Linked DNA regions of Notamacropus eugenii. The protein of the gene in region 1 purifies or fractionates together with the protein of each later gene. This does not show direct contact. Links are inferred from orthologs where the notes say so. Each region holds a gene or a part of one and is shown in the gene's direction. Other genes may lie near its edges.

Region 1 (7,138 bases):
CAAGGGGATTCCTGTTCAGGTAGTAGTAGTATTTGATGGCATCTGAGGTTCCTTCCAACTCTGAGGTTCTATGATTCTGTGGAGACCTGGCTCTTGCCCCACTTCTGCCTCCTTAGTATCTGAGTGACCTTGGAAAAGTTCCTTAAACTTTCTGAGTCTCATTCTCATCTCTAAAATTGCTGAACTAAATAACCTATAAAGTTCATTACAGCTGGAAATCCAATGATCCTGTGATTAATCCTCCCCTGGGTTGAACAAATTGTGGTATATTCATGCAATACAATACTATAATCCAATTATAGTTATGTGTGAGAAACAGAGAAATTGTTATGAAATAATACAGTGAGAAAATATGCAGAGCAATGGTGTCCACACAGACTATAATGATATGAGGAGGAGGACATGAGAAAGAATGGACAGATCATGATGGGAACTTAGGAGGGAAGGACTGAAATAATAACATTGTAATGCATTGAAATGAGTTATTTAAATGTAAAGAAGTAAGCAAGTTTAGATTTATGTATTTATGGTTAGTGCTGTTTCTGATAACACATTTAATAGTTCTTAAAAAATGTTTTAGTGCTGCATTTTGTCTTTATAACTGACATTTTAGCCTACCAGATCAGAGTGAATTCTCCTTTTCAACAAAGCCAAAAAAACCCCAACAATACAACACTATACCCAATTTATTTCTGTGCCAAGAGCAGAGAGGCAGAAAATATTTAATTTAATTTTCTAAGAGACAGAAACAGGCAGCTTCTGAAGGAAAAAACAAGATGATTTTCTTGGGGGAATGAAAGTTGGCTCTGATACTTAATTCACTAACCCTAAAAATCGTCTTGCTATTAATACAGTGGAAAGCTGGTTGGATTTGCAGTCAGGAGGCCAGGAGCAGAATCTCATTTCTGACCCTTAGCTCAGTGACCATGACAAGTCAATAAGGAAAATGAAAAATGAATAAAGACATATTTTTTTTTTTAATTCACAGAAGAAAACAAAGTGCAGAAGAGGAACATGAAAAATAGAACCATTTTGTTACTATCCTGTTGAGTTGTAAATCAAGGAAATAATAGCTAGCATTTACATAGCAAATGCTTTACAAATATTTTATTGAGCCTTACAATGAGTAGGTGATAGCATTATTCTTGTTTTACAAATGAAGAAACTAAGGCAGATATTGGTTAAGTGACTTGTCCAGGATCACACAAATAGTAAATGTCTGAGGTCAGTTAGAATATGGGTCTTCCTGACTCCAGGTCCAGCATTCTATCTACTGCACCACCTAGCTCCTATGGAAAACAAATATTTTGTTAAGAAAAGAACAAGGAATAGAAGTTCGATAGGTACCTTGTTGCTTTATTTTTACTCATTTCAATGTTTGTGTTGAAAAAAAGGGAAAAGGACCTATTTGTACAAAAAAAGTTCATAGCAGCTCTCTTTTGTGGTGGCTAAGAATTGGAAATCGAAGGGATGCCCAGCAATTTAGAAATAGCTAAACAAGTTGTGGTAAATGATTGTGATGGAATATTATTGTGCTATAAGAAATGACAAGCAGGATGATTTCAGAAAAACCTGGAAAGACTTACACGAACTGATGCAAAGGGAAGTGAACAGAACCAGGAGAGTGTTGTACACAATAACAGCAATACCGTATGATGATGAACTGTGAATAACTTAGATGTTCTTAGCAATACAATGATCCAAAACAACCCCAAAGGACAAATGATGAAGCATACTATTTGTCTCCAGAGAAAGAAATGATTGCGTTTGAATACAGACTGAAGTGTGCTATTTTTCACTTTTTCTCTCACTTGACTCTTGTACAAAATGACTAGTATGGTAACATTTTACATGATCACACATGTATAACCTATATCTCAGGGAGAGGTAAAATTTGGAACTCAAAATTTAAAAAGAATGTTAAAAATGTTTTAACATGTAGTTGGGGGAAATATATAAAAAAACAACAACGGCAACGGGGTCTCACACCTACCTTCTCTCTAAAATGTAAATGATATTCACATTGTTCTACCAACCTAGGCAGCTTGTTGGGGAAGGATTTTGCAAACATTAGAGGGCTGTATAAATGTGAACCATTATTCCCAGAGGTGTCCCATGATTTGAATTTTGGGGAGTAGTCCCATTCCTGGAGTCCTACATCCTGTCTATAAGTAAAGGACACTGGATTTGAAGTGTGGGGACCTGAGTTCGAATGCCTGCTGTGATGTTTCTCAACTAGGTGACCTTGGGCAAGTCACTTCACCCTGTTTGCCTCGGTTTCCTCATCTGTCAAATGAATTCGAGAAAGAAATGGCAAACCAGTCCAGTATCTTTGCCAAGAAAATCTCAAATGGGGTCATAAAGAGTCAGACATGACTCAACAACAACAGCTTACATGGGTCTTTGGATACCTCAAAGCACTGTAGGCATGCCATACGCATTAGGGTGATGAGGTTCTAGCACTTGCAGCTACACGTCTGGTGGAAAGCATTTATCTCGGTACCCTCTGACAATTTCCTAAGACCCCTCCCTGTCTTGCCCTAGGAAGGAATGGTTATGAATTGTACCCAGGACTGCTGGAAAAGGGATTGCTTCTGGCTTCTGCCATCTCAGAGAGCTGCCAAATCAGTTCTGGCTCCACTGTGAACCTGACACCGGAGACTGAACCCGACACTGAAATCTGTTTGCTTGTCTCTTTCTATGAGAATAAGCCTTGTGATTGTGGGAGGGGCGGGGTTGTGAGGATAGACAGCAGGTCTGTACCTTTAAAAGCTACAGTCCCACGGTATGGGGTGCTGGGAAGCCTGTGGCTAACTCACCGCATAGGCTTGGAGAATCCCTTGTCCCTTTCTCAGCCTCAGTTTCTTCATATGGGGCGGAAAATGAGGCGGAAAGAGAGTTTGGACAGGATGGATCTGAATCTTGCGCTCTGGTTGCCTAGCTAGTTCCGAGCCTCTCACCCCGTTAGCGGGTGGGGGCGGGGCCGCTGTCCAATGGACAGTCCCAGATTCGCAGTCAGGGCTGATCCCCATCCATACCCGAAGAATTGTGCCTGCAACGTATTAGGGCTCTTCTTGGGGATCTCTAGTGAGCGGGGAATTTGGGGGGGGGGTGAGGGCCTCCTCATCCCAGGGCATCACTCTAGGAACCCTAGGACTCAGAACTGGGAGGAACTTTGATAACCCGGAGACTCCCCTTGGTTTCACAGAAGGGGATGGGGAAGGGCCTCGCTCAAAGCCCCACGCGTGGAGGGCACAAGGTGGGAGCCGAATGCGTCCTGCTCCAGGTCTGGGGGGGGCCACACAGCTGTGCCCAACGGGCCAGGAAGCCTGTGCAGCCACGCACCTGCAGGCACGCACACAGCCCAGGGGCACACACCCACAGACACAGACACACGCACTCACGGGTACAAACACAAGTACGTACAGACACAGACATAGACACACACAACACAAGCGCGCATACACACGCACACAGCCCAGGAGCACACACAAAACACACGCGCGCGCACACACAACACACAGACACACACGCACACAGCCCAGGGGCACACATACAACTCACACACATGTACACACACACTCACGAGTACAAACACAAGTACGTACAGACACAGACATAGACACACACAACACAAACGCGCATACACACGCACACAGCCCAGGAGCACACACACAACACACGCGCGCGCACACACAACACACAGACACACACGCACACAGCCCAGGGGCACACATACAACTCACACACATGTACACACACACTCACGAGTACAAACACAAGTACGTACAGACACAGACATAGACACACACACAACACACGCGCGCGCACACACAACACACAGACACACACGCACACAGCCCAGGAGCACACAAACAACACATACACAACACATAGACACACGCACACACATGCACACAGCCCAGGGGCACACGCACAACACATAGACACACACGCACGTACACACACACGACACCGCAGGGTGCCGAGCTCGCATGTCCGAGGTCTGGGTACCGCTCGCCGAGCCTCGGGCCCCGCCCCCCTCCCGCAGTCCTCCAGCCTCTCTATGATGTCTTGGCGGGCCAGCAGAGATACTGCGGGGTCCCCTCTAGCCCGCTCGTCCTCTCTATGGCAGCGTCGCTTCCGGTGGCGGGAGCCGGGGCTGCGCACGCGGGAAAAGATTGTGATCCTGGAACCCCCCCCCTCCCCATAGTCCTCCCCTCCCGAGACCCCCGAGTGTACATCCATGCCCCCCAGGAACCCGGGGTTGAGGAGGTGAGGCGCGGGGCGGGAGTGAAGGGGGTGAGCCGCCAACATCCAGCCTGGGGGGAGGGCGGCTCGGAGGTGGGGGAGGGGAGAGGGGAGGGGGAAGAGAGGAATCAACAAGGGGAGGAGAGACAGGGTGGGGGGTTCGGAGAAGGGGCTCTTGGTTGGGAGGGAGGAGTCAGGTGAGGGACGTGAAGGGGAGGGGCCACCCAGAGCCTGGGAGAGGGGGACTCGAGGGTCCCTAGGTGGGGAGCCGGGGCCAGGGGCCACGTGAGGGAGGGCTGGGGGCGCCTCCGGGGGAAGTCCTGGAAGGGGGATGGGGAGGAGGGGGCCACTGGGGGGGCGCCGCGAGAGGCCAGGAGCCCCGGCTCTGCCCCCACGGGGAGCTGGAGGGGGGGGGCTCGGGGCTTTGACCCGCACTGGTCCAACGTCCACCTGCTCCGGTCCCGCGGTGTCGGGCGTGGGCATTGGGACCACAGCCACCAAAAGTGTCCTGGTTCTCCTGGGAGGTCGTCAGTGAGCCCCCTCCTCCGCCCCCTCCTGCCTCTAATCTCTCCCTGCCTACTGAGAGATGGAGGGGATCCTACAAACCTTTATTAAGTAACTATGTAACTACTCGCTGTGCCTGGCACGCACTTTTCATTTGCCTCCTCGCTTTCCCTCTTTCTCTTTGTTTCCAGGTCCCAGTAGGCTTCTGTTGACCTGCTCACCTCTTTGGAACCAGCGTCTTCCTGGGGGGGTCCTTCTGCTTAGTTTTCTGTTGTCTGGCGCTGGGGCTCCTGGGGCCGGGTCAGCATGGCAGAGACTTTGGAATTCAATGATATCTACCAGGAGGTGAAAGGTTCTATGGTAAGAAAGAAGGGGCACTTTAGGTAGAGGAGAGGGAGGATTGGAATGACCCCAGACCCCGGACCCGAGGACTACGGAGAGGGGAATAATCTCTTTCCGCAGGGGGGCTGACACTCTTGATAGTTTTTGAGGCTCGTGGGTTTCTCGGTATTTTCTTTAGTTTTTAACTAGCACGATGATAATATAATTATGGGGAAGACGTAGAATTATAGTCTCTTAGAGCTGGAAAGGACCCTTATAGCTTACCTAGTCCAACCCCTCATTTTACAGGTGAAAAAACTAAGGGCCAGAAAGTAGAATTGGCTTGTTCTAGGTCATTGTGGCAGAACTTGGGCTAAAAACAGGGTTCCTGACTCAGTCTGATGTTTTTGCCACAATTCCATACTGCCTCAAATTTATCTGCTTTGTTTTCTGAGCAACTTGCTGTCAGAGTGGGGGTCAGAGTAACAGGAATCCAGAGCATGTTTTATGTGATATCTTTGAATGTTCTGGTCCTTTTCTCCTGCAGAATGATGGTCGTCTTCGGTTGAGCCGACAAGGTATAATCTTTAAGAACAGCAAGACGGGCAAAGTGGACAACATCCAGGCTGGGGAGCTGACGGAAGGTGTCTGGAGACGGGTGGCTCTGGGCCATGGCCTCAAGCTTCTTACCAAGAATGGACACTTCTATAAGTATGATGGCTTCAGGGAATCGGTGAGATTTGCTCTTTCTCCTATCGCACTGGAGCCTGTTCTTACTCAGCCAGTCTTATACGTCTATGTCTTCTCTTTGCCTTCCAGATATAACTAATCTCTTTGTCATCCTATAATTGTATAACTCTAGGGGCCATGGGACAGTACTGTGTGACTTCTTAGTGATGCTTGACCATCACCTTCTCTTTGGTTTTAGGGGCATGTGAATTTGTCAGATTAGTTTTTTCGTCTTTTGTCCTTGCCTGAGTAACTCAATCTTTATTTTTTTTTTTTAGTCAGTTTTCTCTTCCTACCCCCAGAGAGGGAAAATAAAGGAAAATGAAACTTTATTACCAAATATTCATAATCAAACAAAACAAATTCTTATGTTAGCTATGCCCAAAAATAGGTTAAACTTTTCAGCTCACTGGTAGGAGGTCAGAAACATGCTTTAACTTCGGTCCTCTGGAATCATAATTGGTCTTTGCATGGATTGGAGTTCTTACAGCTTTCAGAGTTGTTTGTTTTTACAGTGGTGTTCTGATGTTCTCATGGTTCTGCTTCCTCTGCATCATAAATCTTCCTGAGGTTCTCTGAAACCATCCCACTTCATCATTTCTTCCAGCACACTAATTTCTGTTACATTTACGTACCATTATTTGTTTAGTTGATGGGTGTATAGCCTGGTTTCCAGTTCTTTGTTTGCTAGTACAAAAAAAAAGCAAGCTGATATAGATAGCTCCTTTTTTCTCTTTCTTGCATCTCTGGGGTATAGGCTAGTAGTAGAATCTCTATATGGAAGGGCAGTTTAATTAATTTTTAGGAATGGTTCCAGATTTCTTTCCAGATCAGCTGGACCAGTTCATATGTCCATCTGCAGTACGTTAATGTGCCTTGTTTTCTCACAGCTTCACCCACATCTATCATTTTCCTTTTTTGTCAACTTTGTTGATTTGATAGGTGTAGAGTCTTACAATTACTTTAATTTTCATTTCTCTAATTATTAGTGATCTGGATCAGTTTTTGCCTTCAGTATACTTGTAAATAACTTGGATTTCTTTCCTTGAAAATTTCCTACTTATATCCTTTGATCATTTTTCATTTGGAGAATGGCACTTTGAAAACCTATTCCTCCCCTGCCTTTCTAGTCTTTTTACTCCTTATTCCTTGGCATGTACTCTTTAGTCCAATGATGCAGGCTTCCTAGCTGTTCTACAACATACATACCATCTCTTGGATCTGGGCATTTTCTCTCACTGTCTTAACATGTTTGGGATGCTTTCCCTTCTCATCTCTGCATACTGCTTCCCCTGACTTCCTTTATGTCTCAACTAAATTCCCATATTTTGAA
Region 2 (6,318 bases), on another chromosome or scaffold:
AAACATATACGTGTTTCCCTTGAAAGTGCTGCCATTCACCTCATCCTCCACGTTCATACCCTTCAACGTTATCTTTGATTTGTTCTTCTCTCTCATCTCTCTCATCGTCCATCAAGTACCAAATTCTAGCCATTTTGCCTCTGCAGAATCTCTCATTCCATCCTTTTTATTCTCACTGTAAGTCACCTTGTATATTCATCGCCATCTGCCCAGGCTTCTGCAGTAGCCTTCTAACAACTTCTAAAACTTCCACTTTCACTTTTCCCTCATTCCAGTCCATCCCTCATAATGCTGCCAGGTCACAACCCCTCAGAGGATTACCCTTTGTCCCCTGAGTAAAGATCACACTGCCTTGCCTGGCATTCACAGCCCTCAGAAATCTGGCCCTCACTACATTTTCAGTCCTCTATTACTCCCCGATATCCTGTACTTCAGTGAAATTGTACTGCTTGTTACCTTTACATGTTTTCCACTTGGCTACCTTTCCTCAACACAGTTGCTTATGCCTGAAATGCCCTTTCCTGCTCCCAGGTGCTCCCAGTGCTTTAAAGCTCAACCTCTTACTGCTAGGAATCCTCCCCTTCAGTTATGACATATTCCTTCCTTCCCTTCCCTTACACCTGTGCCTTTTAAGCATTTATGTGGACCTTGACTTATTTAACCTCCTATATTTTGTTTTCTCTGTTCATGTGTGTCATATTCCTTAACTAAATCTTAACTCCATAAGGACAGGAATTGTCTTATCTAAGCTTTGTTTACATTTCATCGAACACCTCGTGTAGTGTTCAGCACACAGTAGACACTTGTTTGTTGAATTGAATAACTCAAATGTACAGATTTTCAGGTCTGTAAAGTACTTTCTTCACAGTCCTGTGAGGTAGGATTATTATAATCCTCATTCTACAGATGAGGAAATTGAAATTCAGAGAGGACATGTTACCATGGGTTTCCACAACCAATAAGTTTGTGACCCTAGAATGTGAACCTATGATTCTTAACTCTTTCTATAATACTCTGCTGCCTCTTGAGTGTCACACTCCATTTCCTCTGTAGGCTCAACACCAAAACTGGGAAGCTGGAGATGAGCTATTCCAAGTTCAAGGCCAAGAACCTTTCTCTCTTGGGCACCCTGATACTGAAGGTAAGGTTGACATGCACACCCAGGTACTACTATAGACCCAGAGCATGGGAACTCCAGACCCAGAGCAGACCTGAGGGAAGGTTTGTGCTTTTCCTCTTACTGATGTGAAACATGGCTATGGTTAACACCCACCTTCTGCTTCTCCAGGGTGCAGAAGCCCTCCGATTGGTGGCTGTCCGTCGAGGTGAAAATGAGGCTGGTGCCTACATTGAGTGCAACAACATGACCCTCATTAACCTGCTCATCAAGATCTTGGGGCCCATTCATGAAAAAAATCTCACTTTGTTGCTTCTGCTCCTGCAGGTGATCCTTTGGGCTAAGATGGGCATGGCGGGTCCTTATCCCTCTTCCTTATTCTTCTGTTTTCCATATATCCTCTCCCCAGGCTGGTTACCCTCCTAAGGTCTCCCTCCCTGCCTCCTTTTCTCATGACTCTCCATCTATTTCTCCTTGCAGATTCTGGCTAGTGCTATCACATTCTCTATTCGATACCAGCTGGTTCGGCTCTTCTATGATATTTGAGTCTTTGACGGTGACTCTTTACTTCACAACCCTCTGCCCCTGTCTCATGTGGACCCCTGTTGGACTAAGACTGTATTCCTCATAAGCCTATTGGGCTTCTCCCCATCCTTATTGTCTTCAAAATTATCTCCTTGGGGAGGTATCCTACCCCTCAATGATTATTTATTGATTGTATTTGCCCTATGGACTTCCCTAAATTGACATTTTTCTCCCTTTCCTTCCTTTCCTGATGCTTCCCCTGGGGCAGGAGGCAGCAGCTTCTTGGAAGCTAGGTTGCCACTAGGGATCAGGCTAAGTCCCTGGTGGTTCCTAATGGTTCCACCCTGAATTGATATGTTACTGGGAATTAAGCATTTTGATTAATAAGGAGCAACCTGAGTGGTCATTAGCTCCTTTTGGTGATGATAAATATGTTTGGTTCACTTTTTTAACTGTGGGTGTGCTCTTGTTTTCAGATGATTTTGGGGGGGCAGGGGAGGGAACACTTCCCTGCCTGCTTCCACCATTAGGTAAATATCAAATCCTGGCCCCTCTTTCTGTCTTCTTTGCTCCAGATACTGAGCTCCTTCCCTTCCTTGCAGGTGGGGGAAACATACATAGTTAAGTCATGCAACCTATGTGGAAAATTACATTGGAGAAAAACAACCAGGTGGAATAGCTATCTGAAAATGTGTCACATAGAAGGAAGTATTAGACTTCTTTTGCTTAAGTCTTGAGTATAGACCCAAGGCCAATGAGTGGAAGTCACATAGGAACAGATTTTGCCTTAGTAAGAGAAAATTTTCAAAAACCAACTCCTTATCAGAGCTATCAACAAATGGACTGAACCCCTTCAACAGGCAGTGAACTTGCCAGTCAATGGAAGCTGTTCAAAAGGAGGTCACTAACCACTTGTCGAGGACTGCCACTGATAAGAGTGAATGAATGAAGCACTTATTAAGTGTTTACTATGTGCAAAGCACTGTGCTAAGTGCTGGGCAGGCACATAGAAAAGTCAGGCCGGCCCTCCCCAGGAGCTCATATTCTAATGGAGAAACACCACATGCAAGGTTCAGCTGCAAGTCTCACGGTTCTTAGGGTGCAGCTGCAAGGGAGCTGGAAATACCTTTTCTTTAATGTTACTTCCACCAATAAAATCATATTGACTTCTGATGGTGAACCACTTGGCAGTGCCAGGGGCTTTGGTGGCAAGACCCTTCTTTTCTGAGTCTTCAGTAACTGTGGCTGCAGCACTTTCAGAACAATTTTGAGGGCTGGGCTAGAAGCAGGAGTGATGCTGTAAAGGTTGCTGAAGCTCTTAGGGCTCTTATGTCTATCTGCCTGTTGGTGGCAATTATTTCTAGTGTTGATGACAAAGGTTGAGAGGGATGATCGCCCTTTTAACTGTCCAGTCTTAAGGAGTGGAAGTGAAGGATGAGAGGGAAAGACTGATCTCTGAGGAAGACATAAGACCAAAGGGTGGAAATCTGAAAGGTAAATTTAGATTTTATGTAAGGAAAAATTGCCAAACAGAACTATGGAAAGGTAGAATAAACTGCTTTGGTCACTAGTAGGTTTCCCCCTTCTTGGGTGTCAAAGTCTTGAAGCTGAGGTTATATTGTAGATTGGATCCTATTCAGGTATGGGATGGAACCAGGGATGAGGAACCTTTGGTATCGAGGCTGGAACTTTGAAGTTTGGATTCAACGGCTGTACTAGAGGGCCACAAGTGTCCTTGAGGTCAAAGGTTCCCCATCCTTGGTTAGATGGATGGATGGATGGATGGAGGGAGGGAAAAAAAGTAAGTGCTGACTCTCAGTTGTTTCAGACTCTATGACCCCATGTGGGGTTTTCTTGGCAAAGATACCGAAGTGGTTTGCTATTTCCTTTTCCAGCTCATTTTACAGGTAAAGAACCGGGGCAAACAGCTGCCCCTAACGACAACAAACGTGCTAAGTGCGGGAGATATAACTAGAAAAGTTTGAGTCCCTGCCCTCCCAGCTCCCAAGTCCCCTCCCTCTTGTAGATGTGAGAGAAGACCCCGATCCTTCAGCTGGGGCTGGGGCCCAGTCAGGGGCTGGAGTTTTCCCTTCTCTTAGGGACTGGGCTGCAGGGACCTCTTCTTACCCACTGAACTTGTTCAAACAGGGTTTGGATTTGGAATAAAGGGCCTGGGCTAAAGGAAAACCAATTCAAAACTTCATTTTAACCTTGACCCTGGGTTTTTGCATTTCCCAAGACAATCATCGCTAGTAACAGCATCAAGCGCGGGGGACAAAGAAGGTCCGCCCAGCCTCCCACCAGAGCTCACTCAGCACGCGGTGAGCACCTGCGGCGTACCGGCACCGGCCCGAGGGGCGCGGAGGGCGGCGCCAGGCCGTGCAGTCAGACACGCCTCCCTGGTTCGGATCTAGTCTCAGCCGCCGGCAGGCTCGGGGCTCCTCGGCAGAACGGGCTGGAGAGGGAACGGCAAGCCGCAGCCGCTGCCTGGAGGGGCGGGGAAGGAAGGCGAACACGCGGGAGGAAATCTTCGGGACTAGTCCTTAGGCAAGGGGCGGGCCCTCATGGGAAAGGGCCTTCCTCACCCTTCCCGTAGCGGGCGCCTCCGGGGGGCGGGGCCCGGGCTCCGCCGGCGCTGGACGGTCCCGAGGGACCGCCCTCTGTCCGGCTCTTTCGGTCCTGTCTGACTCTGTGGCTTTGTTTTCTTGGCAAAGATATTGGGGTGATTCGCCGTTTCCTTCTCTAACTCATTTGACAGATGAGGAAACTGAGGCAGACAGGATGAAGTGACTTGCCCGAGGTCACAGCTACTAAGTGTCTGAGGTCGGATTTGAAGTAGGGAACCCGAGTACTCTTCCGCGGGCGCTCATTTGCCTTTCTTGGCGCCTAGGCCATTTGAATCTCCCGCGCTTCCGATGGATTGGCCGCTTGGGGGAGCGGGAAGCCGGGGGTGGGGAGGAGCGAAGCCGACCGCGCCCCTCCCTCTAGTTTGCTAGTCGGAGTGATCTTCCCCGGGTTAGAAGAATTTTTAAATCCAGCCAATCGGTAAGCACGCTCATACGCTCAGGAGGAGGAGCCTGATAGCTAAGGGCAGCCAATCGGAGGCGGCCTCCATGATGCAGCCAATAGGGAACTAAAGGACGCTGTGACCGGCCGCCTTAAAGGCGGCAGCTTTGCACGCGGACCGGCATTTAGACTGCGGCGAGAGTTTGGTGAGTGTGTGTGCGCACGCGCAGCCGTTACTCGCGGTAGTTCTCTCGGAACCAGTCTCGCGCTTTATACGTTAGCATGTCGGGTCGCGGCAAGACCGGCGGGAAGGCCCGTGCCAAGGCCAAGTCTCGCTCTTCGCGGGCCGGGCTGCAGTTCCCTGTGGGCCGTGTGCACCGATTGCTGAGGAAGGGCCACTACGCGGAGCGAGTCGGAGCCGGCGCGCCGGTGTACCTGGCGGCCGTGCTGGAGTACTTGACGGCCGAGATCCTGGAGCTGGCGGGGAACGCGGCCCGGGACAACAAGAAGACCCGCATCATCCCCCGCCACCTGCAGCTGGCCATCCGTAACGACGAGGAGCTCAACAAACTCCTGGGCGGCGTGACCATCGCCCAGGGCGGCGTCCTGCCCAACATCCAGGCGGTGCTGCTGCCCAAGAAGAGCGGCGCCATCACGGGACCCAAGGCCCCGGGCAGCGGCGGCAGCAAGAAGAGCACGCAGGCCTCGCAGGAGTACTGAGCGCCTCGCCGGCCTCGGCCCGTGGCCGCTCGGCCCGCACCGGCCCCCCTCCCCCACAAAGGCCCTTTTCAGGGCCGCCTCCCCCCTCCCTGAGAGAGCTGCTGCACCCGCCTCCCTCCCCGAGCCCCGCCCCCGCCGGCCCGGCCCGGCTAGAGCTGCAGCCCGGAGCCCGGAGCTGCGGCCCGGCCCGCCGGGGCCCGGGTTATTCTGACTCCTTCTCTCTTGGCAGCTACCGAACAAAGCCCGGGGCCATCGCGCCCCAAGGTCGCGCGGGGCCCCCAGACCAGCGAGGGCCAGACCTCGTCCGAACCCGGCCGGCCCCGACCCTGGACAATGAACTGAATTTTCTCAGCTTAGACTCGTTGCCTTTATCCGGGGAATTGAGAGACTGTGAACGACAATTCGGAAGTCTGATTAACTTAATTTTATTAAATTTTTTTTCTAATGAAGTTTCTTGTCTTTCTTCAGCTCCCCCTAGGTGCCAAAGGTTAGCTAAAGATCGTGGTGATTCGGTGGCCACTTTTCCTTGGGGGAATTTGGGTCTGGAGAGTAAAAAGATTTTAGTACGTAAATCAGTCAACGTGCGTATTTATGTGCCAGGAACTGGAGATAGATATACTGGAAGGTGAATGGGATGACTGTCCACACCCCAGTCATCATCTACAGGCTAAATAAAAATTCCACTAGAGTAAGGTCAGGTGTTTTATTGACAAATTTGGTTACATTCAAAGTCTGTAGACTCTCCACAGAAAACAATTCTCCAGCCCCTTGTAAAAGAGGGCCAGAACAAGGCACTAGGAAGCTTAGCAGCAACAGGTCCCCTTTCCCACACCTGAGGCCCAGATGATGCAGTTTTTTGTGCCCAGGGATAGTTCCTGTTGAGTTAATTAATCCGGGAAGGATTCAGGGCACCCCAGAACAAATCTGGTCAATGTTCCTGGGCAGAAAAT
Region 3 (7,362 bases), about 350 Mb from region 1:
AAACTAACAATTTGGAAGGGGGATAGCAGAGAAAGAAGTCTAGAGGATCAGGAGCAGAGAGACCAGGGAAGAGTGAAGGCAGACCTGGGACTTACCTGACAATGGAGATTCTGAGAGGAATTGACCAATTAGAGGAAAGGGTTATGGGGGCAGAGGGATCTTTCAGGGTTAAAAGGACTACAGGGACATGGTGGAGAACAAAGATCAGAGATTCAGGTGGTTCCTCAACTCTGAATGTTCCCAAAGCGTGTGGCCTCTCCCAGGTATGGAACCAGCGGTATGGAAATCTGTGGGAGAGTATAGCCTCTATAATACCCAACAAAGTGAACATATATATGGTGGATGTGGGAAAAGGAGAAGAGGAGAGTTTTCTTGTAATTCATTGTGCTCTGCTATTTGATTAAATGTCTTTTCTTTGGACTAAAGGGTCTTCTCATTCAAATAAAAGGAACATCAGTGGGAGAACACAAGGAGAACCTGGTACTCAAGAGAGTGGACAGGAATGGAAGCTGTTTTCTTGATGAATCCAAGTTTCTATTAGAGCAAAAAGATGGAATTCAAGTCACTTGACCAGATAAACTATATCCTTGAGTCCTGGAAGAACTGTCCAGTATGATTGCTGAGCCACTATCATCGATAGCTGAAAGGTCATAGGAAATGACAGAAGTTGGAAAAGGAATATGTTGTCTTGATTTTCAAAAGAGGGCAAGAGAACAGAGTCTATACCCTATACAGAATCTATAAGTCAAGGAGTTTGACTTTGATTCCTGGAGACATTCTAGAACCAATCATTTAAAAAATGGTTGAAAAACATCTAGAAAAGGAAAACAAATGGTGATAGTGAAGTGGATAGAGCACTGGGCCTGGAGTTGGGAAGGTCTCAAACATTTACAAGCTGTTACCCTGGGTAAGTCACTTGGCCACTGTCTGCCTCCACTTCTCAACTGTAAAATGAGGGTGATAATAGCAATATCACAGGGTTATTGTGAAGATCACATGGCATATGCATGAAGCTCTTAGCACAATGCCTTGCATATAGTAGAGCAGTTAATAAAGGCTTATTCCCTTTCCCTTATAAAGAGCCAACGTGGCTTCCTCTAGAACAGGTTATGCCAAACTAACCTCATTTCCTTTTTTGACAGGATTACTAAAACAAGAGGGCAGTTAGGTGGTGCAGTGGATAGAGCACCAGTGCAGGAGTCAGGAGGACCTGAGTTCAAATCTTACCTCAGACACTTGACACTCACTAGCTGTGTGACCTTGGGAAAGTCACTTAACCCCAACTGCCTCATCCTGGGCCATCTCCAGTCATTCTGATGAATGGTCACTGAATTCAGATGGCTCTGGAGGAGAAGTGAGGCTGGTGACCCGCACAGATCTCTCTCACTCAAAAACAACAAAGTCAAATACAAGTCGTATCATCATTTCTCTACACACACTAAAATAAGAGATGAGAGGAATGCTGTGAATATAGTTTACCTTGATTTTAGCAAAGCTTTTGATCAAGTGTCCTCATACTATCCATGTGGCTATAGTGAAGAAATATGGATTAATGACAATACAATCAGATCTGTCCAGAACTGGTCAGATGATCCAACTCAAAAAGTAATTGCCAATGGTTCCATATGGATATGGCAAAGGTACTCCTTTGTATCTGGGCTTGGTGTTGTGTCATTGAACATTTTTGATGGTGCAATTCATTAAATTGGAAGAAGGCACAAAGCCAAGAAATATAGTTAATACACTGGGTGGCAGAAACAGAATTCCAAAGAAAAAACTCCATAGTGATAAATGTAAAGTCTCACATTGTACCATAAATCAATTTCACAAGTGGAAAATGGGGGAGGTATGTTTATTAAGAAAGTCGTTCTTTAAAAAAAAAAAAAAGTTCTGGACAATGAGTTCAATATGAGGTTATAGCGAAATATGGAAGACTTCTAAAAAGTTAAACTAATCTCAGGTTTCATTGACAGGGACAGAGCTTCCAGGAAAATAGGAAAGTGATAGTCCCACTGCACTCTACTCTTGTCAGACTTCATCTTGTTCTTTGTGACCCCATTTGGGATTTTCTTGGCAAAGATACTGGAGTGGGTTGCTTTTCCAGCTCATTTTATAAAGCAAGAAACTGATGCAAACAGAATTAAATGACTTGCCAGGATCACACAGCTAGTAAGTGTCTGAGATCAGATTTGAACTCAGAAAGATGAGTCTTCCCGTCTCTGGACCCAGTGCTCTATTTGTTGCACCTTCTAGCTACCCTTTGTCAGACTTCATCTAGAATACTATGTTCAGTTCTGGACACTATAATTTAAGAAGGACCTTGATAGGTTAGAAAATATCCAATGGAGGGAAGTCAGGATGGTGAAGGGCCTTCAGTATTTGTCATATGAAGACCAGTTAATGGAATTAGGAACGTTTAGCCTGGAGAAGAGAAGACTCAGTGGGGCATGATAAAAGTCTTCAGGTATTTGAAGGAGTTGTCATATAGAGAATCTAGTCTAGTTCTGTTGGGCCCCAGAGAGCAAGCAATGGAAGCTGTAAAGATTTAGCCTGTGATATCAGGGAAAACTTTGAGCAATTAGCATTGTCCAAAAAGGGAGTGCACTGCTTCCGGAAATGAAGGGTTCCTCCTGCTTGGAGATCTTCAAGCAAGAAATGCGATGAACAATTAATTATCTGAGGTGTTATGGTGGGGGATTCCTTTTGTGTATATGTTGAACTATATAGAGACCGAGGTACCTTTCAACTCTCAAGCTCTGTGATCCTATAAATATTATCTCGTCTAACTTCCGAGTCATTGCTCTGTTCTGTCTTCATTTCCCTACCTATTTGCCTGCTTCTTCTCGGTCTCCTTTACTCCTACACACACGGATACAAGCACAAGCACAAGATTTTTCCTCAAGACCTCTTCTCTTCTCTATATTCATTCAATCAGTGATCTCATTGGTTCTCATAGCTTGAGGTATCACCTCTATGCAGATGATTCTTCAATCAGCTGTAATCTCCTCTCCTGAATTCCAGTCCTTCTTAGCTCACTGTCTGTTGGACATCCCAAACCCATTATTACCAAAATAAAATTCATTATATTCCCATTCCTCTTCCAAACATCCCCATTTCTTTTGTAGGCATCACCATCCTTCCTATGACCCAGATTTTCAAAGTCAAAGTCATCCTTGATTCTTCCCCTCACCCCCCCCATATCCAATCAGTTGCTAAGTCTTGTTGATTTTACTCCTATAACATGTCCAGAATTAGTACCTCTTCTCTCCACTTTATTCAAACTCTCATCACCTCTCCTACCCTCTAGCAATAGCTTCCTAATTGTTCTCCCATCTTCCAGTCTTTTTCCCTCTCCAGCTCATTCTCCACACAAGTACAAATTAGCATTTCTAAAGTGCAAGTCTGACCAGGTGACTGCCCAAACATCTTCAGTGATGTTCTATCATCTCTAAGAAAAATACAAACTCCTTAGATTGGCATTTATAGTCCCTCAAAATCTGACTGCCACCTACATTATTTTACATATTCCTTTTTCAAGTACTCAACATTTCAGCCAAACTGAATGTATTGATTAGCCCTGAGTCATGTTGTCTTGAAAAGTCTCCCCTCCAAAAAACCAAAGCACTGTAAGACTACTCTATCTTCTCTGGAAGAAGCATCAGCAGATGACAGTTCCAGCAGATGTCAGTAGTAGCTTCGAAGAGAAAATGAACATTAGTTTGGGAAGAAGAGGAAAGGAGAGGCATTCCAAAAGAGATGCAACCTTTCTTCTCCTAGGAATATGCTTTTTCCAGAGGATATTCCCTTTCCTGCTGGCATGGAAGGCTAGCAGGGAGGAGTCGTGCTGACATGCTGAGAATGGTTCTACCACTTAATTTTCCCTTATTTACTTTTTATTTTATCATAACTAAATACTGTACCATCTAATTTATTTTTTGTGCCTGGTCTGTGGGTTGGATGGTTGTCATATTTGCAAAAGTGTCACCCAAAATACCCCATACTGAATCTGGGATAGTAAAGGGGTCAAAAATGTTTGGGACCTGTGGTATTCAGTAAATACTTAAGGAATAAAAGTGAATGAATGAATGATGAAATTGACTAGCCCACTTACAGGAAATCTTATCCACATGACACCTTAGCATAATTAATGTCATTAATTACACAAAGGAAATGGAATTAACTAGTCCCAAACTGTTGTACCACACTTTCTTTAAACTGGAATAGAGTTATGATGTGATCTTTCCCTGCCCCCACCCCAACTACCACTTTATGACATCAGAGAAGATACAGCCTCATAAGTGACATGCCATAGTTCCTTTCTCACATTCATCTCAAAGGAAGAGATGGTTTATAACTGCGGTGATTGGAAGAAGAGAAATCCTAATAAGGCTAAGGCAAGTGAATATGTTAGTCACTTATTTTTTAAAGATTCTTTTTTGAGGGTCTGATTGTTAGGAAGTAGTAAATCAAGAAAGGTAGAAGGACAAGGAAGAGTAATAGCAGCTTTACTCACACCCTTGCCGCTCCTTTCTTCTTGTTCCAATCAGATCTTCAATCAGATCAAATGTCACTTAAGGACTCGTAGTGGTAGTCACATCTCCCCAACTAGGTTGTGAACTCTATAAGAACCGAGAATTCTGCCGTATCTCTGCAGGAACTTCTTAGGTGCTTAATTATTTATTTATTGAATCTGCTTTAATAGAAGGGAGAGGTAGCAGGTTTGATTTTTTTAAATTTGGCTTTAAAATAATTCTATCATGCCTTTCCCTCCCCAGCACATGATGAAGAGGGAACATTGGGAGACTAATTTCCTTCAGTTTTACTCAATCCTAAGCAAAAAATTAGCATGGGAGAGGAGGGATACCACCTGAAAGCAAGGATGGTCTAAAGTTGAGCTGCTGTTGAAAAACACTAGGGAAGTTCGGAGAGTTGTGTTTGAAATCAACCCATTTTCTCATCTGTAAGAATGGTCTTAAATATCCAAAACTTCTTAACAGCCCAGGTCTCTTGGCTTTCCAGGTTTCACTATATCACATTGCCTTTTTGATTGCACATTTGATTGTGCAACATGGGAGACACTGGCACAGGACCTCTCAGTATGGCATGCCCACATCAGAAAAGGTGCTGTGTTCTATGAGCAAAGCAGAATTGAAACATCACAAAGTAAATGCAGGATGCGCAAATTTGGAGTAACCACCTCAAATGTTCACAAAGACTATCTGTGCCCAATCTGTGGTAGAGCTCGTATTGGTCTGATCAGACACAGCCAAACATGTTGAAACTTGACTTTATCATGGTGATGTCATTTTGGTCCTCTTCGAAAACAAAGGACAACAACCAACCAACTAACCATATCACATTGCCTGATACAGGGAGGGATGATAATAAAGGGTGAGCAAAGTGCTCATGGATCTTATAAAACCACCAGAATGAGTGTAGTGCAATCCTCTGTCAAATATTTCCCCTGACAAAAAATAAGGGTGAATAAACAGAAAGGCATTTGTTAAGATGGCAAATAAAGAATTTATTAAGCACTTCTATGCCAGGAACTGTGTTAAGCACTGAGAATACAAAGGGAAAAAAACAGTCCCCACTCTTTGCCCTCTTGGGGGGAAAAATGCAAGCATCTATGTGCAGATAAGACATATAAGGGACAGTGAACAAAGGAAAAGTATTTGAATTAAAAGGGATTAGAAAAGGCTTCCTATAAAGATGGGCTTTTTGCTGGGACTTGAAGGAAGCCAGGAAAGTCAGAAGGCAGAGAGGAGAAAGAAAAACTTTCTGAATAAAGGGGACAGGCAGTGAAAATGTCCAGAGTTAGGAGATGGAGAGATTTTCATTCAAGGAACAACAAGAAGATGAGTATGGTCGGATCAGAGCATAAGGTGTAAGAAGATTGAAAAGATAAACGGAGATAAATTGGGTTATGAAGAGCTTTGAATCACACATTTTATATTTGATCCTGGAGGTGATAGGAGACTAGAGGGGGATTGTTGGAGGGTGACATGATCAGACTTGAAATCACTTTGACATATAATTGACAGCTGAGAGATTTGTGGCAGGGACATTGATCAGTCCAAATCTGAGGTGATAAGGACCTGTTTCCAAGGTAGTGACAGTGTCAGAGGACAGAAGGAGGCACATGCTAGAGATGTCACAAATATAAAACTGATGGGTCTTGGCAAAGATTAGATGAGGGGGGAGGGAATGAAATAGAGTATTGGAGTTGGGAGGACTTGAGTTCAAATTTGACCTCAGATACTAACTCTGTAACCCTGGGCAAGTCACCTAACCCCAACTACCTCAAAAAAAGATGGTGAGAAGTTAAGATACCTGGAAAGTTAAGAAGCCTGGAAAACTAGGAAGATGGTAGTATCCTCAACAGTTTCAGGGAAATTAGGAATAGGGAAGGATTTGAGTTAAGATAATGAGTTCACTTTTGGACATGTTGAGTTTAAGATGTCTACTGGATATATGAGAGCAATGCCTATCCTCAAGGATCTTACATTCTAACGGGAAAAAAAACACCACACAAAAGGGAACTGAAAATTTGGGGAGGGAGAAAGGTGAAGAGAGAAGGTACCAGGAAGGTACATGGCCAGAGGTGGAAAAGTTGAGTAAGGGGTAGAGCTCATTGAGACTTGAGTGGTAATTGGCCCTGGGAAATTCCTCAAATGGAGGTTCTAGGAAGATACTCACTGAGGAGAAGAGGAAGCCTCTATTAATCCCTTACTATGTGCCAAGCATTGTACCTAGGCTGGGGAAATAGGAAAAAATAGAAAACTTGAGACAATCCCTGCCTTCAATTACACTCTAATTGTAGGAAACAGCACCAAAGAAAGCTTTCCCACCCCCACCCCAATCCCTCAGTGAGTATATTTTTCTAAGCATTGCTTTCGTAGGTCTCTCAAGACCTGTGAGCTCAGCCTGGGCTTTTACAACAGAATCAGTCAAGCAACCATTATTTATTAAGTACCAGCACGAACCAGTGTACCGTGCTTATGCTGAGAAAATGAAGACAAAAAAACTGCCCTCAGGAAGTGCACATTCTGATGGGAAAAGAGAGCATATAAATAGATATATGCAAGATCTATACAGTTAGATGAAAGGCAATTTCCGAGGGGAAAAAGCAGCTAAAAGGACCTTGAAAGATCTTCTGCAGAAAGTGTCTTCAAAGAAACCAGAGAAAGTAAGAGAGTAGAGCTAAAAAGACAGAGATGGGAGATGGAGCATTTGTTTGAGGAATACAAGTGCACCAATGCCCGCTCTAGGTGGTACAGTGGATATGATGCCATCCTTGGAGTGGTTCAAGGCACTTCCTAGCAATGTGACCCTGGGCAAGTCACTTAACCCTGTTTGTCT
Region 4 (6,925 bases), about 78 Mb from region 1:
AACTTTGGAATTGACTCTGTGACACGGGAGACACTGGCACAGGGCCACTCAGCATGATGTGCCCACATCAGAGATGGGGCTGTGCTCCATGACCAAAACAGAATTGAAACAGCTCAAAGGAAATGCAGGATGTGCAAATTTAAAGTAGCCACCCCGAATGTTTACACATGTGCCTGACCTGTGGTAGAGCATTCTGAGGTCGTACTGGTCTGATCAGCCACAGTTGGACACACTGAAACTTGACTCTAGCATAGCGATGTCTCTTTGGTTCTCCTTGAGAACAAAGGACAAGAATCACCACCAGAAGAAGGAAAGCTTTGATCACATATAGACAACATAGCTTAACACAGAACAGGTCATACAAGATAAACCTCTGTTTCCTTACTTCATTAGAATGCTGTCGATACAGTACATCTAGATTTCAGTAAAGCATTTGACAAGTCTCTCGTGCTATCTTTACGGATGAGATGTAAAGACACAGACCAGATAATAATGGGTAGATTTATAAATGGTTGAAAGACTTAATAGTCTTTCAAAGAATAATCATGATGCCATCTTGGAGAGAGGTATCCAACAAAAAGCTCCAGGGACTGGCTCTATGTTGTTTACAATTTTTACAACTTGGGTGAAGGAATAGATGCATATCAAATCCATGCAATTAATACAATGGATGACAAATTCAAGACCAAAGAAGATCTTGGCATGTGAGTCCCACTGAACTATGCCCTGATTAGATCATAGCTGAAGTACTTAGTGATACTGACAAGCTGGAGATTATCCAGAGGGCAACAGGAGGGCAAGGGAGCTGGAAACTATGCCATACAAGGATCAGCTAAGAGAAATGGGGATGCTTAACGAAAAGGTTTTAGGGAGAACATGTTCACTTTATTCAATATTTGAAGGGCTGTCATGTAGAAGGAGAATTAGACTTTTTTTGCTTGGTCCCAGAGAGCAAAAGATGCAATTTGTAGAAAGGCAGATATACTTCAATGTGAAGAAAAATTTTCTAACATTTTACACTTCTTCCTTTCATGTATTCTACAGTTATAGGCTCAGAAGATCTGGATAGATCCATAGATGCCAGCTAATGCAATCTCTTCATTTTACAGAGAAGGAAACTGAGCCTTAGGGAGGTGAAGTGACTGACTTCGGTGAAGTTCACAGTGTCAAGAAATAGAGTGTAAACTCAGGTCCTCTGCTTCCAGAGTTAGTGACCCTGTTCCATGCTGGCCTCCAATTAAATTAGCCCAATACCCCAGATTCATTGCATTCCACTTCCCACCTTTAAGCACTTGTGCAGACTGCCCTCTAGATTTGAAATATGCTCCTTCCTCACTACTCTCTTATCTTTCTTCAAGATGCAATTCAAGTACTACTTCCTATAGGAAGTCTTTCCTGATCCCCTTAGTGCTCCCAGCTCTCTGAGGGCAGAAATTGTTTTTAACTGACTTTGTATCTCCAGCATCTGGCAGTATCTCACACATAGTAAACACTTAATGCTTATTGAATAAATGAATGGAATAACAGAATGATCCCCAAAAGGGATGGGCTCCTTAGAAAGTAGGTGCTTCCTGACACTAGAGATAATCAAGTGTTATCGATAACATGGAAGAGATTCTTGTATAGGTAGGGAGGGATTGAACCTCATGGACTCTGAGGTTTCTTCCACCTCGAGGATTCTGAACTCTCATAATGTTGTTTGGTGTCTTCCTCACTCCCTCATAATCAATCTGAGGGGAAATATGCAGGATGAACCTTTTATCAAAGGCTCATTGTGTCACCACTGGGAATAATGTCCCAGGTAGCTACAGCCCTAGCTTCCCTATACCTTTTGGATGTGCTCCTGTTCCAGGGTTGAAATGGGACAGATTGTCTTCATTTCACATCTCCCTAGTGACTCATCCAGAGTTCTGTTTTTATTTTTTGGTCCAGTTCTGTGATTTATTTAGTGTAGGGAACTCCTGTTGAGGAAACTCCCTCCTCCAGTGGTTGGCACTGCAAGCGCTTAATGAAACCTTGTCAATTGATTCCAATGCTATTTAGCAACTATCCCTCAAATTATAGCTTTAGAGAGGTGTCTGAGGCACCAAGAGGTTAAAAGACCATACGGCCAGTTTGAATCAGAAGGCAGGTATTCCGGACTCTAAGATCAGTTATCTATTTACTATACCATACTATCTCTGAATCTGTACTTAACTGGTACTAAATTTTTTTTAGGTGAATTGAAGGACTCAAACTTACATTGGATCCAATAAGCACTGAGAGTCTTTCTATTACATCCAAGAAAACATCATTCTTGTGACTCTGGAAAAGAAAAGGGATCTGGAGTAAACAAATGCCTGGTTCTCAGGGATTAGAGGTAGAAGAGACTGGGAGAAGAGATATCTGGGTCCCAGAAAATAGAGGATTATCCTAAGAATTTGGGAGACTGAACGGCTGGAACAGAGAAACCACTGGGAAGTTGGATACATGGGTGCAGATGCATGGATGTTTGATAACACAGATATCCTTCCTCACCTGGTCAGTGCGGCTAGTTAGGACTGGACGGCTGGCTGCACTGCTTGGGGCCACTTTGCTCTGCTGTGTTTCAGCCCCAAACTGTAAAAAATCCACAAGTAGTCAGTCCTCTAGCTAATCCTACCTTAACTCATCTCCCCAAACCAACTTCTCCCTTTCCTTCACTAACCAGACCAACACTGCTGAGCTCAAAGAGGTTGAAGGGCTTGCTGACCACTGCCTCAGTTTGAATGAAGTTCCTCAGCATCTCTGAAGATGTGGTCTGGATGTAGCCATAGTCCTGTAATAGAAATGGTATGTTTTTGTATGCCCAAGTTATAGGTGTGCGTGGATGGAGGGAAAAGGGACCTAGATCTTCTAATAAAAAGGGCGCATCTCCTTGGAATTGGAGATGAGGGGAGAAGTCTCTGGGCCCTTAGCCTTTGCTCCTTACCAGCACTTCATCCAAGAGTTCATAAACAAGGGCTACATTAAGGGAGAGAGTCTTCTCGCTGATGGAGCCACAATAATCACTTAGTAGGGTGGCTAGCCTGGGGAAAAGAAGAAGCAATGGGTCTTCTGAACTCCAATTCCCCATCCCCTCTCTCTACCACCGTCCTCACCTTGACAACAGCTCGAGAAGAATGAACGGGGAAACACCCCCAGAGGTGGTGACCACAAGGTAGAGGCTGAAGTGCCGGATGTGGACAAAGTGGTAGCCTTTGTGATGCTTGGGGAATGGGTGACAGTTTGGGGAGTGGAGGAACGAACACGAATAAAGGGTTAAAAACAAGAACGGGAGTCTTGGAAGGACGTTCCAGGAAGCCAGATCCCCCGTCCTCTCTAGCCCAGTGTGGCTGACCGCTCCTTGCCCCAGATCCCACCCCGTGCCCCCCAGGGTCGTTACCATCACCACAGGAGGCTGGTCCCCTGGCAGCTCCGTAACCTTCCTGTAGAAGATCTCGGCCACATCGCTGCCTCCACAGTCTCCTCGGACTGAGCGGACCGGGTTAAGGGCGGCCCAGGTTGTCCAGCGTCTCGGCCCCCGGACCCAGCCGCCCCACGCCCTCCCTCCCGGCCCACGGGTGGGAGGATACAGTCCTTGTAGATGAGAGGGTCCCCCTTGTAGGACAGAATGAAGAGCTGGGAGATCATGGCCCTCCGCGGCACAACAAGCGCAGGCTGGGCCGGTCTGGACTCCGCCGGACGCTGGCTTCCTCACTAAGCCCCGCCTCCTCACTAAGCCCGGCCTCTCTAGGCGTAACCTCCCCATGTGGCCCCTGATTGGCTGAGGTTTGGCGGACCAGCGGGGGAAGAGGAGGGAGAGGGTGACGCTCACGGTTCCCCCTTGGGGCGGGGTCTCAGGCCGAGCCGCACCCGCGGGGGCGGGAACTTCGGCGGCGGCGGCAAACACTCCTTTCCCTATTGGCTCTAGGGGGAGCGTCGGTCACGTGGTCAGGGACGTTTCGCGCCAATTTCGGTTGCTCCCCCGAGTTTCTTGCGCGCTGGCTCTTCTCCCTCTCTCCCTTTTCAAGATCCCACCAACCGCCTTCCGCCGCCGGCCCGCTAGTTCTGCTCGGGACACCACTACCCCGTCCGCTCCGTCCGGCAGCTATGGCTCCTAAGGACTACGCGGCCGAAAAAGGTGAGGGGTCAAAGGGGGCGCGGCAGGAGCCCCTGGGGCGCTGGAGGCTGGGAAGAGTGGGCTGGCGGCTAGGCGAAGAGGCAGGCAAGGGGCTCAGGGGAGTGGGGTCAGCTGTGCGGGAGAAGAAGGGAGGCCTGGGGGACTTGGCGGGGGGGCGCAAGCTGGGGTACTGAAGAGCCGCAGGGGGAGATTCTGGGGGAGCTCGGGAGGGGCAGGGCACACTCAGGCAAGGGAGGTGGCCGGACTCTGGGGACGGGAGCGGGAGGACAGGGAGTGAGAGCGGGGACCGGGCCGCTGGAGAAAGTTTACGGAGGGCAGGGCAGGGCAGGAGCGGAAAGTAACCCTGTGCCCCGGCGGAGGGCTTGGTGAGAGGGGCTATTCCCGGAGCAGCCGCCTAGCCTGCATCCGACCCCGTTGTCCCCGAGTCCTTCCTTGAGATCGGAACCAGGGACACGCCGAGCCCCTGGTATTGGTTTAGGACCTGGCCGTCTAGACGGAAGTGACGTTTGCTGGCGGAAGTGCGGTGCTTCTGTTCGAAAGCAGTGCTATGTAAATAATCTCCTTCCGCGGGGCCAGCACTGATGAGGTCCGGATAAGTTGAGGGAGGGCATTAGGTCGGGGTAGCATCCTGGAGAGCTCAGGGAGAGGACGTTGTTGAGGACACCGGGTAGTAGTGCCCCGTCTGCCCGGGATCTCGGGCACTCCCCTGAGCAGTGCTCAGGCATCCCGTGGGGCAGTGGAGGGGGGTGTGGTTGTGGTTGGCGCCATGTGCTTCTTTGTTTACAAAGAATGGAAACTGTTGGAACCAGTAGGGACTTAGTGAAAAAGGTAAGGCTGGAGTCATGGGCTCACCTTTTAGCACCGAAAAGTGCCTTTTGAGGGTTGGAGAAAGAATAAAAGTTTTGTTAGGAGTGGGAAGCTGAAGGCTGGGAGACTTGGAAATTTAGAAACTTGTTTGTGGGGAAGAAATAGAGGAAGGAGAAAAGGACTGTGCCAAAAAGCAAAGCCCAGTCTGGATAGTTTTAGTGGTATCCTTGGAATACATTATAGCGACCCAACATGAAATTTTTTTGGACCACTCTACACCAACAGAAGAAAAGGAATACCACTTGGCAATCTTTCTTCCTCAATTCATTTCAAAATTAGGCTGTGATGACTTTTTCCAGTCAGTTTGTTTTGATACAAGTAGATCAAGACTAGTATCAAGAGTTTCCATAGGGAGGACTGAAAAAGAAAAAATAATTTTCTGTCTTTTTGCTAACAGAGAAAGCTAAGAGGTTTCTACAAGAGTTTTACCGAGATGATGAGTTTGGCAAGAAACAATTCAAGTATGGGGACCAACTGGTGAGTTCAGGGATGGGTGATTAAAAGAAAAACCAGGACAGGTACACAGATGAGGAATGAGACTTGAGAAGTGGTTCATTCTATATGCTTTCCTACAGAAGCTTGACTTACTGGGGGGGTCATGGGTCATGGTAGTTCTCCAGAGTTTGGGTCCTACTGGAGTAATGAAGAACTGATTATACAAGGTAGGGAACCACTAGGGTAGGAAATCACATGAGTGTGGAGTGGGAAGACAGATGAAAATGAAGATTACTTTCAGAAACTACACTTTTAAGGTTAGAAAATCATATTTCCTGTGGGACTTAGCTTATTACATATATATTTTTTGGTGATGTGATTTTTTTGAAAACCCAAATCATGTTATTGTAACAGTGAGAATTCAAAGGCAGTGCTTATTGCACAGTGAAGGTTCAAAGTCTCCATCGATTAGGCACATTGAGGAGTGAAATTTGAATTCCTTGCCAAGGTGGCTAAGATTTAAGGGATGTTTTGCAAACATTTGCAAAGGGAAGTGGTGCTCATGAAGGGTCTTTTATAAATGGGGTTACTAGGTTAGATTAGAGAGGTGCCTTAAGCATAGTTGAACTAAATTTCAGCAATGTTTCAACAGACTCTTTCATCCTATGAACAAAATGAAGACTTCAGCTACTGTATGTCGGTAGACTTAGAACTGTTGAGTTAACTAAACATATGATCTGTAGGTTCCTTTCATCTTGGGAGATCTCTAGTGAAATGCCCCAGAAGTCTGTTTTTGCTTCTGTGCTGTTCCCTATTTTTATTAGTAACTTGAACAAAGATATACAGAGCATGCTTACCAAATCTTTCAAGTGACACAAAGGTGAGAATGATAGCTAACATGTTTAATCACAGAATTAAGATTTTAAAAAATATTGGCTGGAAAGACTAGTGGGCCAAATCTAATAAAATGCTTTTGGATGTCAATCAGTTAGCAAACATTTATTAAGAGAGCAGTGTGGGTAGACATTCACATCAAAAAGATGGAGATATAGGTGTTAGTGACCTCAAAGCTCAACATGAATCATTAGTACATGGCATCACCCAGTCTATTGTCCCCAACTCTTCTCTATCTAGATAGGTGTAGGGTCCATGATCCTCAGGATTTGTGAGAAGAAAAATCTTGGCAGCTGTGTAAGTGAAAACTGAAATATGAGGTGTTGCTTAGAAAGCAAGCTTATAAAGTTAATTGCCAGTGCATTACAGATAATATCATTTTGTTGGGAAGAATAGCACTTTTTTTTTTCTTTCTTGGAGTGATAAATGAAAACTGGAAAGTTTAATGTACTCATTAAGAAAAGCATAATATCCAGAACAAATTGATAATTTTACTGTTCACTGTCCATATCTAAAGTATTTTATTCAGGTTAGGAAGGTCAAACTTAAGACTAGAGAAAGATGAGGATGGTGCAGAACATATTTATT

The links.
Region 2: the proteins of SSRP1 (region 1) and H2AX purify together in Homo sapiens (affinity purification with mass spectrometry; 4 studies listed by BioGRID and IntAct, counting the BioPlex papers as one, with this or other methods). This does not show direct contact. The link is inferred for Notamacropus eugenii from reciprocal best matches to the Homo sapiens genes SSRP1 and H2AX.
Region 3: the proteins of SSRP1 (region 1) and TOP2A fractionate together in Homo sapiens (co-fractionation; 3 studies listed by BioGRID and IntAct, with this or other methods). This does not show direct contact. The link is inferred for Notamacropus eugenii from reciprocal best matches to the Homo sapiens genes SSRP1 and TOP2A.
Region 4: the proteins of SSRP1 (region 1) and MCM7 purify together in Homo sapiens (affinity purification with mass spectrometry; 4 studies listed by BioGRID and IntAct, with this or other methods). This does not show direct contact. The link is inferred for Notamacropus eugenii from reciprocal best matches to the Homo sapiens genes SSRP1 and MCM7.

What each region holds. Positions count from the first base shown.
Region 1 is NC_092873.1:2,927,950-2,935,087, reverse strand, and holds the start of SSRP1 (FACT complex subunit SSRP1), read left to right. Parts: upstream 1-4,117; 5' UTR 4,118-4,275; intron 4,276-4,946; 5' UTR 4,947-5,061; coding exon 5,062-5,115; intron 5,116-5,623; coding exon 5,624-5,809; intron 5,810-7,138. UniProt on the Homo sapiens protein: Component of the FACT complex, a general chromatin factor that acts to reorganize nucleosomes. The FACT complex is involved in multiple processes that require DNA as a template such as mRNA elongation, DNA replication and DNA repair.
Region 2 is NC_092876.1:279,716,540-279,722,857, forward strand, and holds H2AX (histone H2AX), read left to right. Parts: upstream 1-4,822; 5' UTR 4,823-4,930; coding exon 4,931-5,368; 3' UTR 5,369-5,817; downstream 5,818-6,318. Other genes in the region: DPAGT1 (UDP-N-acetylglucosamine--dolichyl-phosphate N-acetylglucosaminephosphotransferase), read left to right, coding at 1,054-1,141, 1,289-1,444, 1,598-1,663. UniProt on the Homo sapiens protein: Variant histone H2A which replaces conventional H2A in a subset of nucleosomes. Nucleosomes wrap and compact DNA into chromatin, limiting DNA accessibility to the cellular machineries which require DNA as a template.
Region 3 is NC_092873.1:355,954,822-355,962,183, reverse strand, and holds the start of TOP2A (DNA topoisomerase 2-alpha), read left to right. Parts: upstream 1-4,338; 5' UTR 4,339-4,343; coding exon 4,344-4,394; intron 4,395-7,362. UniProt on the Homo sapiens protein: Key decatenating enzyme that alters DNA topology by binding to two double-stranded DNA molecules, generating a double-stranded break in one of the strands, passing the intact strand through the broken strand, and religating the broken strand.
Region 4 is NC_092873.1:80,676,633-80,683,557, forward strand, and holds the start of MCM7 (DNA replication licensing factor MCM7), read left to right. Parts: upstream 1-3,918; 5' UTR 3,919-4,110; coding exon 4,111-4,141; intron 4,142-5,405; coding exon 5,406-5,485; intron 5,486-6,925. Other genes in the region: AP4M1 (AP-4 complex subunit mu-1), read right to left, coding at 2,242-2,304, 2,518-2,598, 2,687-2,797, 2,951-3,047, 3,120-3,226, 3,404-3,492, 3,594-3,651. UniProt on the Homo sapiens protein: Acts as a component of the MCM2-7 complex (MCM complex) which is the replicative helicase essential for 'once per cell cycle' DNA replication initiation and elongation in eukaryotic cells.